Linked DNA regions of Canis lupus familiaris. The protein of the gene in region 1 interacts with the protein of each later gene in a pairwise test. Links are inferred from orthologs where the notes say so. Each region holds a gene or a part of one and is shown in the gene's direction. Other genes may lie near its edges. The genes, in order: CDKN1B, CCND2 and CCNA1.

Region 1 (3,076 bases):
CCCCGCTAGCAGAGGCACCCAGGTCGGGGTGGGGGCGGGGGCGGGGGCGGGGGCGCGGCTCCCGGCCCCTCCGCGAGCGCCAAAGGCCGCCCAGCCTCCCCGCAGCGCCGGAGCCGGGGGGGGGGGGGGGGGGGGGGGAGAGCGCAGCGGGGGGGGGGCGGGCGGGGAGAGCGCAGCTGGGGGCGCAGAGCTCCCACGGCCAGCCTCCGCCCCCCGCGGCCCGCACCCCCGGCTCGGCGAGCGCGGGGAAGACGAGCTCGCCACCGGGCCACCTAGGAGGTCATCTGATCCTGCCCCCTCCGTCTCCCCGCGCGCGGAGCGGGCGCGCCAGGCAGCGCAGCGCGGGGACCTGAACCCGCGGCCCCGCCGCCCCCGCCCCCGCCCTCCCCGGCTTCCCGGCCGGTTGGCTAGTTTGTTTGTCTCGTTTTTAATTTCTCCGAGGCCAGCCGGAGCAGGTTTGCTGGCAGCCGCGCACCTCCGGAGTCACGCGACCAGCCAGGCTCCGGGCGGCGCAGTCGGAGGCGGGCGCGCGCCCGGGGAGGCGGGGCGGGGCGGGGCGGGGCGGGGCGGGGCGGGGCGAGCGGGAGGCGTCGCGGCCGCCGGGGCCACCTTAAGGCCGCGCTCGCCAGCCTCGGCGGGGCGGCTCCCGGCGCCGCAACCAATGGATCTCCTCCTCTGTTTAAATAGACTTGCGGTGTCAATCATTTTCTTCTTCGTCAGCCTCCCTTCCACCGCCATATTGGGCAACTAAAAAAAAGGGGGCTCGTCCTTTCGGGGTGTTTTTCTCCCCTTCCCCTGTCCCCACTGCCTCGCCGCTCCGCGACGCCGACGTCCGCAAGGTTTGGAGAGCCGCTCGGTTGGCGGGACCCGCGGGCTCGCGGCAGCCCGGGCTTGGACTGGCTCTGCCGCCCCTCCCCTCCCCTCCTCTGCCCTCCTCTGCTCGCCTCTGCTCGCCTCTGCTCTGCTCTCCTCTCCTCTCCCCTCCCCGCCCCGCCCTCCCGCTCGCCGGTCCGCTAGAGCGGCGGCGGCTCTCGGCTGCCGGGCCGGGGCTTCCCCTCACCCCTCACCCCTGCCCCTCCCGCCTCCCGCCTCCCCCGGGCCAGCGCGCCCCTGACGCTCGGGCAGTTACTTGCGCGTGTTTGTTTCTCTTGGCTCCGAGCGCGATCGCAGGGCTTTCTAGGGGGCGGTTCGGGCTGGGTCGGGGCGTTTTGTTTTGTTCAGTTTTGTTTTCCGAGAGAGGGAGAGAGCGCGCGCGCTCGCGGCGGTCGTGAAGACCGGGGAGGAGGATGTCAAACGTGCGAGTGTCTAACGGGAGCCCGAGCCTCGAGCGGATGGACGCCAGACAGGCCGAGTACCCCAAGCCCTCCGCCTGCAGGAACCTCTTCGGCCCGGTCAACCACGAAGAGTTGACCCGGGACTTGGAGAAGCACTGCAGAGACATGGAAGAGGCGAGCCAGCGCAAGTGGAATTTTGATTTCCAGAATCACAAGCCCCTGGAGGGCAAATACGAGTGGCAGGAGGTGGAGAAGGGCAGCTTGCCCGAGTTCTACTACAGACCCCCGCGGCCACCCAAAGGCGCCTGCAAGGTGCCGGCGCAGGAGAGCCAGGACGTCAGCGGGACCCGCCAGGCGGGGCCTTTACTGGGGTCTCAGGCCAACTCAGAGGACACACACTTGGTAGACCAAAAGACTGATGCGCCCGACAGCCAGACGGGGCTAGCGGAGCAGTGCACTGGGATCAGGAAGCGACCCGCGACCGACGGTAACGACCCCTCCCCAAGCAGAGAAGGTCTGGGTGCCCAGGACCCTAACCGCAGCTTGCTTTTCCAGAGTATTCCGATGTAGTGGAGGTGGGTGGGGGGAGCGAACTGCCCTCCTCTTGGGTTTTAAATGCTTGTCCGCCTGGCTGCCTGGCTGCTTATGATTTTTAAGTCAGGAGCCTGTTTTTAAGTCAGTGAGATGCTGTTATCTGATCATTGCTCCAACCGAAAACATCGCAGTTCCTCCCGGCTGGCCAGCGCTGGGTCTGTGACTACGTTGGGATGTTTATCAACGGCCTCCCTCTTTGCAGTGGGGAGAGAGAGAGAGAGAGAGAGAGACAGCGAGACAGCTCTAGGGGCATAGAATACACTTTCTGTTATGTGAAAACAACCTCATTCTGTGCCCTTAAAGGCCACCGGGAATGACGGATCCAGGATGGTGGGTGGAGGTGTGGGTTTTTCATCCCCTGACTATTGTGCCAACTTGTGTCAGCCATTGTTTTTCTAATAAAGATTGTGTGTGTTCTTTTTAAAATTCCCTCCTGCCCTTAGATTCCTCTCCTCAAAACAAAAGAGCCAACAGAACAGAAGAAAACGTCTCAGACGGTTCCCCGAACGCGGGTTCAGTGGAGCAGACGCCCAAGAAGCCGGGCCTCAGAAGACGTCAAACGTAAACTGCTCGGTGGGTTGATGACTAGGAGCAAGAAACTGACACTCCGAAATGGGCTTTCACACCCCGAGATACCCAATCTTGGTGGTTGCTGGCAGAATGGAGCTTGTGGGTTTTTGTTTCTATTTTGTGAGGTGGAAAAGTAGGAATGGGGAAGGCTGGGAATCGCTGGTGGGGATCCTGTAATTTTTTTCACACTGTCTACGTCCTGAGGTCATTTTTCCTTGAAAACACGGAATAACCAGAGCAAGTGTCCTAGCCAAAGTACTTGTGACCGAGGCTGGATGATGAGTGGGAAGGTCAATTCCCTGTGAATCCCACCAAAACCGTTGGGAACAATAGGTTCTTTCCCCCCATCTGAGCAAGAACTGGGATATGCTTCAGTCCCACTTCATAAGAATTCTTTTCCCAGAGGTTTCAAGTTGAGTCAGTAACAGATTTTGAGCCATACATGGGAAGAAGGCAAATAAATGATAAAAGTTAAAATTTGAGGGAAAGGGTGCAGATGGCTCATATTTGGTTGATCCTATGGTTAGTAGTGTGAATAGTGAGGTACGTCACATGATCTTTATCATTTTCTTAAATTGTCACTTTCCCTGTTTGCTTACAAATTTGGGGAACAGGAAAGGAACCCTGTGTATTTTTTT
Region 2 (3,650 bases), about 7.1 Mb from region 1:
GAAAATAGTTCGACTTCTCACATGGTAGGAATGTGCCCACATGATAGGAGTGTGTTGTCCTGTGTGTCCTAAGAATCTACAGTTCAAAGGTAACATCAATGGATAAACTCTCAAGATACCTGTACATAGTAGCTGTTAACTAAATATCAGCTCATTGACTTTGGAGCCGAGTCAAAATTTGGCCTTTTTATTGGAGGAATCTGAAGCCTGGGTTCCTAGCTCCAGCGGGGCTGTGACCTCTTTGCCATGACAAGGGTCCTGTCTTGACTGGTTTTCTGGCAACAAACCTTTTTCCCACCCGGTCTTAACTCTTTTTCCCTGCAGCTTCGCACTTAAAGGCGTGTCCGTGTTACGGCAGTGTGGTTTGGGAGAGTGGCACCCAGGCCCACCAGGAGTGGTGTGCGCACCTTTCTCTGCGCTCTTTGGAAAGGGGCCCCCCTCTAGCTGCCCCTCCCCCTCCGGACTGGCAAGGCCTGCCCGAAGTGAAGTCCGTAGGGCCAGGGCTGGCTGCTAGAACGGAGCTCTTTGTGAGAGGCCTTCCTTTCTGGGGCTGGGCTGCCATCTAGTGGCAGACATGTGCAAGGTTGGGGGAGGAATTGCAGGGAATGCAGAGGGGCCTGAATGACTTCACCTTTGAACCGCTGCCAGATTTCAGCTGCTTCTGGTTTGGTCCGGGAGGCCCAGAAAGGTGCTTTCTTCTGGGAGATCTGCTTCCTTTAATAATAGTACAAGACGAGTGGTTTACACTCGTATTCCCCTGCGAGAAGAAAGGGCTGGAATTTCAAGCCATCTTAGAAGACACTGGTGGTTTAGTAATTTTATCTTTTTTTTTTTTTTCCCTCCACCCCAACGTCCTGTAAAAAGCTAAAGCCAACATTATAAAGCATGTAAAGGAAAGTTTGTTAGAATTCGTTGCCAGTTTGCTTTTCCTCATGGGAGACCAGGAGAATGAGTCTTCCATGTGGTTCATTTGTTTCAGTGTGATGGTGGGCCATGGTGTTCTTCAGGACACCCCAGTTTTTCCGGGACCAGCCAAGCTAACTAATACTGTTCCTCCAAAACGCTGCCTTCCATCCCCCCACCCCCCACCCCGCCCATTCCCCATCTATTTATCCCCAAAGCTGGGATCTGGAGGAGTCCTCATATATGCCCAGTGAGGGGAAAGGAGGCACCCCAAATCACACAGCCACTTAGTGCTGCAAGAGGGGGGCTGGGGCTCTGGTTGCTGGCTTAGCAAATGGGAGATAGCCTGGGGACTCTTAGGGCAAATGGGGGAGCAGGGTGCACAGGCAGGCAGGTCTCCTCCTCTCATTCTTATGAAGGCATGAATGGATAGGCCCATTTTCCCTCTGATTGCACATATTTTTAGGGTTTCCTTTTTGGCTTGGTTTACCTTGAGCACAGTTCTCCAAATGCATCCCAGTAAGGGAGAAAAGAGGTTTCTCACAAGGTGGGCTGGTGATGAGAAGCCCTTGAGAGATGGGAGTTGCACTGGCCACCCTCAGTTTTGAACGGAGGGATTCCGTGACCTAGTACAAGCACTTTCACTTTGCCCCATCACCTCTAGCTGCAACATGGGGTTGCTAGTGACCCTCTGGTGGGTCCTTTAGTCATGATGACAAAGGCCTATGAAGCTTTTAGGTGAAAGGGCACTCTGGCTGCGTGTCCTTTTCCCAAGACTTCTGCATTATTTGTGGAGGGGAAAGTTTTAAAGCAGAGAGAAGTGGCGCTTTCTGGCACCAGCTACAAGTAAGCTAATTGGTTGCCAAGGAGTTGGGCCCAGGAACCTTATTTTGAGCTTTATCTGTGTGCATCATTTTTGCCCCGAGGATTAAAAAGACTATTAATCCAGCGGTAGAGACACAGACAATAAATTACTACCTAAGGGCCACAATGACCTTGGCAGTATCTTATTGTAGGTTCAGCCTTCCGGGTGGGCAGGCAACAGTACTGTTTGGAGGTTGGGATTGGCTGGGAGCGGGGAGCCAGACAGGAAAAGAAATGGCAGAAAGTAGAATCTTGGCAACAGCCACCTGGGCTCTCATTATTGCCCAGCGAGCCTGACACTGGAAGCCTAAGAAGAGATGTCAACAACTTCCAAGCTTTGGGGGTGGGGGAGGTACTGGGACAAATGGGCCCACCTCACCATCCCACAGCGTCCAAATGAGTGTCTTTAAAACTGGTCCGGATCCCCAATCCCAGTCCTGGGACAACAGCAGGTCAGCCTCTGGGTTTTATACTTTTCTCTTCCTCCCTCCCTCATCAGGAGTGGGAGCTGGTGGTGTTGGGGAAATTGAAGTGGAACCTGGCTGCCGTAACCCCTCATGACTTCATCGAGCACATCCTTCGGAAGCTGCCGCAGCCGAGTGAGAAATTGTCTCTGATCCGCAAGCACGCGCAGACCTTCATTGCTCTGTGTGCCACCGGTAGGAGCAGGCCACAGTGGGGGGTGGGGGGCTTGGGGGGGTCCGGGGTCCTGGGGGAGTGGAAGCAGGTGCACACCCAGGCTGAAGAGTCCTTTTGGAGGGGGTGGTCAAGGGGAGCCAGCCTGGCGTACTACCTGGCATGGGCTTAAGAGGTTTAGGAGATAGGTGGTCCCACTAACCTAGACTACCAGGTTTCATGCCTGGGCTGTTTTATTTACTTTATCTCAGCCTGGTACATTCTTTTTCTCTGCTCAACTTATAAATGGTTTATGAGGGCGGGTGTGGTAAGGGAAAAAAAATAATGCCTGTTAAAATATTCTTTATGATGTCTAAAGTGCTCTTTGAAGATTATATATACTGCTCTCTGGTTGTGTTTAAATCTTTAATCTTTTGAGGAAAAGGATGGTTTGGAGATAAGCCCAAGAGGAACTTTGGGGGGTGGGGGCAAATATAGGTTAAAAGAACACTGTCAAGATAAATTCGCTCCCTGCCCTGATAAGCAGTAAAGGGAAGGCCGGAGGAGTTCTTTCTACTGTGGGGCACATACATGTAGCTGTTGCCTCTGCTGGATGGGGGAGTAAACCTGGCTGGCTCTCAGCAAGGACTCACGTTCTGAGCACTGAGTTTTGATGCACTCCTTCAAGTGCTGGTGTTTTGATTTTGGTTGCAACCTTTCACACAATAGTCACAACTGGCTTTTTCTTATGAAGAACTTTCCACCCACCATGTTGGTCCTACAATTGATACATAGTTCTCACTGGCCCATATGCTTTGCATTTCTCTAATAAACTAAAGGCAGAGGGTTGACAGGTCTCCTTAAACTGAACCTGGGCCAGTTTCTACCTTTTTTTTTTTTTTTTTTTTTTTTTTTTGGTAGTGGCCATGGGAGAGACCCTGGAGCCTTAATCATAGAGACGTCATAGAACCGACCATCTGGGCAGATCATTTGTTTGGGGATGGGGGGTGGGGGGGAGGAGTGGGGAGGGGTGGGGTGCAGAGGGTTCAGCCCAAGTTTGCCAAGAGTTGTTGAATTTTATAGTTGGGACTCTGGGGCTAACTTTTTTCCAATACCTTGTTACATGTTACTTGTGAGTAAATACAGATGGATCACACAGTAGGCAAGAGTATATACGCTCTGTTTTCGGTCAAAAGGTCAGACTTTGCTACTTCTCACTGGATGACTTTGGACAGGCTGCTTCACCTTTGTGAACCTCAGCTTCCCTC
Region 3 (3,521 bases), on another chromosome or scaffold:
TGTTCTGGCATCAAGATCTGAATATTTTCAAGGTCGGTACCATTTAGTAATATTTAAGTGGATATGTGGATACAGAGGAAAGAAGTCTTCAAGGGCCATGCAAAAGGCATGGTTGTGATAGCAGAGGAAGGAGCTCCACAGCTTCCAAGATTTACTTCCGAAAAACTCTTTACCTTTCATAGGAAATATGAAGAAATATATCCACCTGAAGTAGATGAGTTTGTCTATATAACTGATGACACTTACACGAAACGACAACTGTTAAGAATGGAACACCTGCTCCTGAAAGTCCTAGCTTTTGATCTGACAGTGCCAACCACCAACCAGTTTCTCCTTCAGTACTTAAGGAGACAAGGAGTGTGCATCAGAACTGAGAATCTGGCCAAGGTATGCTACCTGACTTCCAGGAACTTGGGAACCAAGGAGAATAAAATTAGCCTTTCCCCATCATCCGTCAGTTCTTCCTTCCTTATCAGTTCTTTGTCCTGGGTCCAGAAAAACTTTTTTAGCAATGGAAGAGAGCTAATTTTAGGATCATGATTTCTGGTTATGAGACATCACTGTCCATCACGTTTGGTAGGCATGGGTTATCTGATCACCCAACTCTTAAAAGAAGTTTAAGTTTGGAAACCGTTCCCTTGTCAAATACAGACTACATGTAGGCAAATACCTCTTCTTAGTTAACAGAATGGAAATAAAGTAAATGCAGTTTGATTTGGCTCTCATCTTACCCTAACTATGAAGTAATAAAGCATTATTTGGTCATCTGGGGTTAGTGTACTTTAGTTGAAGGCACTGAAGTATTAGTTTGGAAGACTTGGTTTCCAGTCACTGTGATCCTAGCATATCTGGAATGTATATGCTATGCAAAGAGTAATGAGGATCTATGTATAAATTTCCCAGTATGTTTCTTCTAATCTCGCAGGGACTGTTCTAGCCTCTGAACTACATGCATTTGCCTGACAAATCCGTAGCTTCATACGGTCGTATTTTGCTACTTTATGTGACTGGTATACACCTGTACCCACTAGTAGAAGACAAGAAAAGTAACCTATCATATATACTGTGTAGGTGGGCCAAATCCTTGTATATTGGCCTGTACTACAACACCAGTGCTATTCTGGTTATGGATAGGCATAGCAATTATTAACCCAGTGAATATTTTGAGCATCCGTTTCTGTCCACACATCACTAGATACAGGATGGACAAAGATAAGACAATTTTTTCCCTTCACATTTCTAGGTTTACTTGTAACCTTAGTCAGATTCTAATTCCACTGGGATTTTCTCTCTTGTGCTTAGTATGTAGCAGAACTGAGTCTGTTGGAAGCTGACCCATTCTTGAAATATCTCCCTTCACTGAGAGCTGCAGCAGCTTATTGCCTGGCGAACTATACTGTGAACAGGCACTTCTGGGTAAGATTCCAATGAGTTCTCTACACGAAATGCAAAGCCTATCTAAGAATCTGTCCAGTAACTCTCAAGGCTTAGTATGGACTGGCCTCTCATGAGGGAAAGTTAGTTTAATAAGGAACTGGTTGTCTTGCCAGCAGATGACAACATGTCACTGAGTGTTGCAGGTCAGCTTTTATGGCTTTGACTCAGTGGCCTTGGGGTAGAGATTGCAGGAAGGCAAGGAGATGGTGTTTGCATGCTTATTCAAAAGAAGCAGGCCTGGAAACCTCAATGCCCACCTTATGCCAGGAATGTCCTTGTGGTGCAAGCATTGAGCACTTCAGGCAAAATTTGTTGACTTTTGTTCTATGTGTGTAAAACAATCTGGATCCGTTTAGGATGGTCAGAAATTTGCATCAAGTTTTCGAGGAAAGGGAGCAATTAGTGCTGCCTCTTGGTCCAAAAAGAGGCGAGTTTAGAAACGGACCCTTCGATTGGGTTCTGAAGGCTCACTTTTATGCTAAAAGAAGTAGAGTATCTACTTTTATATTCTAGAATTCTTATTTATTATTATATATTCTGCATCCACTAAGAATCTTTCATATGTAAGATGTAAATAGGGTGTTTAGATAAGAAGAGGCTCTTTAGGGACCAGTAAAAATCCTGCTCATGACAGAATACATAAAAGTAACCTACCCCCAAATTGAGCATTATAAATACACAGTATGAACAAATTGAGAACTCTGGCTGTTCTTCCTAATATTTCATTTCTAAAGTCACTGAAGGAGGATTACAGTTTCTCTTGAAATGAATGTGGATACTTCCTAAGTAATTAACTTCCTTGATTTCAGATTTGTCTTCAGCTTTCTGATATAAAGTTATATGATGCAGTTTTTTTCTTTTTGTCTTGATTAGCCAGAAACTCTTGCTGCATTTACAGGCTATTCATTAAATGAAATTGTGCCTTGCCTGAGTGAGTTACATAAAGCATGCCTTGATATACCCCATCGACCTCAGCAAGCAATTAGGGAGAAGTATAAGGCTTCAAAGTAAGTTTCTGAAATTTTCTTCTCTGAGCTTACTAATTTAAGGCTTTAATAGGTTATAGTAATGTCAGCATTAAAAATAGAACAAATTGGAAATCTCAGTGCTAGGCTCGCATGTTAAATCAGGAAAATCGGTTTAGAGAGGCCTAGATTTATAATATGTCAGCTTGGAATACATAGAGTCAGAAAGCGTTCTTCCTTTCTGTTTAAACTACTGGAAAGTTCTCTGTGGCCTGAGATTTTATAAAACCGAAGTCCTTTGTTTGGGTCTCATTGCAGGTACATGCACGTGTCTCTCATGGAACCACCTGCAGTTCTCCCTCTACAATAAGTCTCTTGCTGAAGTAGTTCCAGAACTTAACCTCCATATCAACAGAATTCATCTTAACTTTTATAGGTTTCTGCAGGTTGGGTCAACTAGTGTTGCTACAATATAGATGACATATTTTTTAAAATGTAAATGTAGTCAAGTTCCCTTAGATTTTAGTAGTTTGTAATATCATCTAACATTTTTTAAAGAATAAACAACTTGCCTTGTGACCACATGTTAGACTTGTTTACTAATTAGGATGGCCCATATGCTTGCCTGGAATTGTAGTGGGGAGCATTATAAATGTCGTCTCTGTTTCAAGAATTCTCCTAAACTGGTTTCATAAATCTGGTATGCCATTGGGATTAAGTGTTTTGAGGAATTCAGAGATTTTCATGTTTGGTGTCAGTGGCTCCCCTGAGACTTTTTTCTTCCCATTGGTTTACTTTTTACACAGCTCTCCATAAATTGGCGAAGGAGGGAACTCCAAGCTTAGACTCATTAGTGAAGGGATATAAACAAGTACAATCTCTTCTAGTTTCCCTTCAGGACCCTAGGGAATAAAGGAAGTGAGTTGAAGACTAGATGTGATCAGGTACCCCTGAGCGGTGACCGACATGTAATTTTAATCCAGGGATGTGATGCTCATTTTGTAGATACCATGATGTCAATGTTCAGTTTTCACTTAGTCACCCATCAAGCATATATTTCAGCCTTAGAAGATGCTCAGAGAGGTAGAAAAAGCAAATTTCACCACAGGATGGGACTTC

What was found.
Region 2: the proteins of CDKN1B (region 1) and CCND2 interact in binary tests that used the Homo sapiens proteins (3 or more experiments, as listed by UniProt). The two-hybrid records come from large-scale screens. The link is inferred for Canis lupus familiaris from reciprocal best matches to the Homo sapiens genes CDKN1B and CCND2.
Region 3: the proteins of CDKN1B (region 1) and CCNA1 interact in binary tests that used the Homo sapiens proteins (3 or more experiments, as listed by UniProt). The link is inferred for Canis lupus familiaris from reciprocal best matches to the Homo sapiens genes CDKN1B and CCNA1.

The regions. Positions count from the first base shown.
Region 1 is NC_049248.1:12,565,103-12,568,178, forward strand, and holds CDKN1B (cyclin-dependent kinase inhibitor 1B), read left to right. Parts: upstream 1-1,286; coding exon 1,287-1,761; intron 1,762-2,311; coding exon 2,312-2,433; downstream 2,434-3,076. UniProt on the Homo sapiens protein: Important regulator of cell cycle progression. Inhibits the kinase activity of CDK2 bound to cyclin A, but has little inhibitory activity on CDK2 bound to SPDYA. Involved in G1 arrest. Potent inhibitor of cyclin E- and cyclin A-CDK2 complexes.
Region 2 is NC_049248.1:5,502,557-5,506,206, forward strand, and holds part of CCND2 (G1/S-specific cyclin-D2), read left to right. Parts: intron 1-2,266; coding exon 2,267-2,426; intron 2,427-3,650. UniProt on the Homo sapiens protein: Regulatory component of the cyclin D2-CDK4 (DC) complex that phosphorylates and inhibits members of the retinoblastoma (RB) protein family including RB1 and regulates the cell-cycle during G(1)/S transition.
Region 3 is NC_049246.1:4,254,836-4,258,356, reverse strand, and holds the end of CCNA1 (cyclin-A1), read left to right. Parts: intron 1-182; coding exon 183-387; intron 388-1,302; coding exon 1,303-1,416; intron 1,417-2,310; coding exon 2,311-2,444; intron 2,445-2,720; coding exon 2,721-2,772; coding exon of another isoform or gene 2,773-2,789; 3' UTR 2,790-2,986; downstream 2,987-3,521. UniProt on the Homo sapiens protein: May be involved in the control of the cell cycle at the G1/S (start) and G2/M (mitosis) transitions. May primarily function in the control of the germline meiotic cell cycle and additionally in the control of mitotic cell cycle in some somatic cells.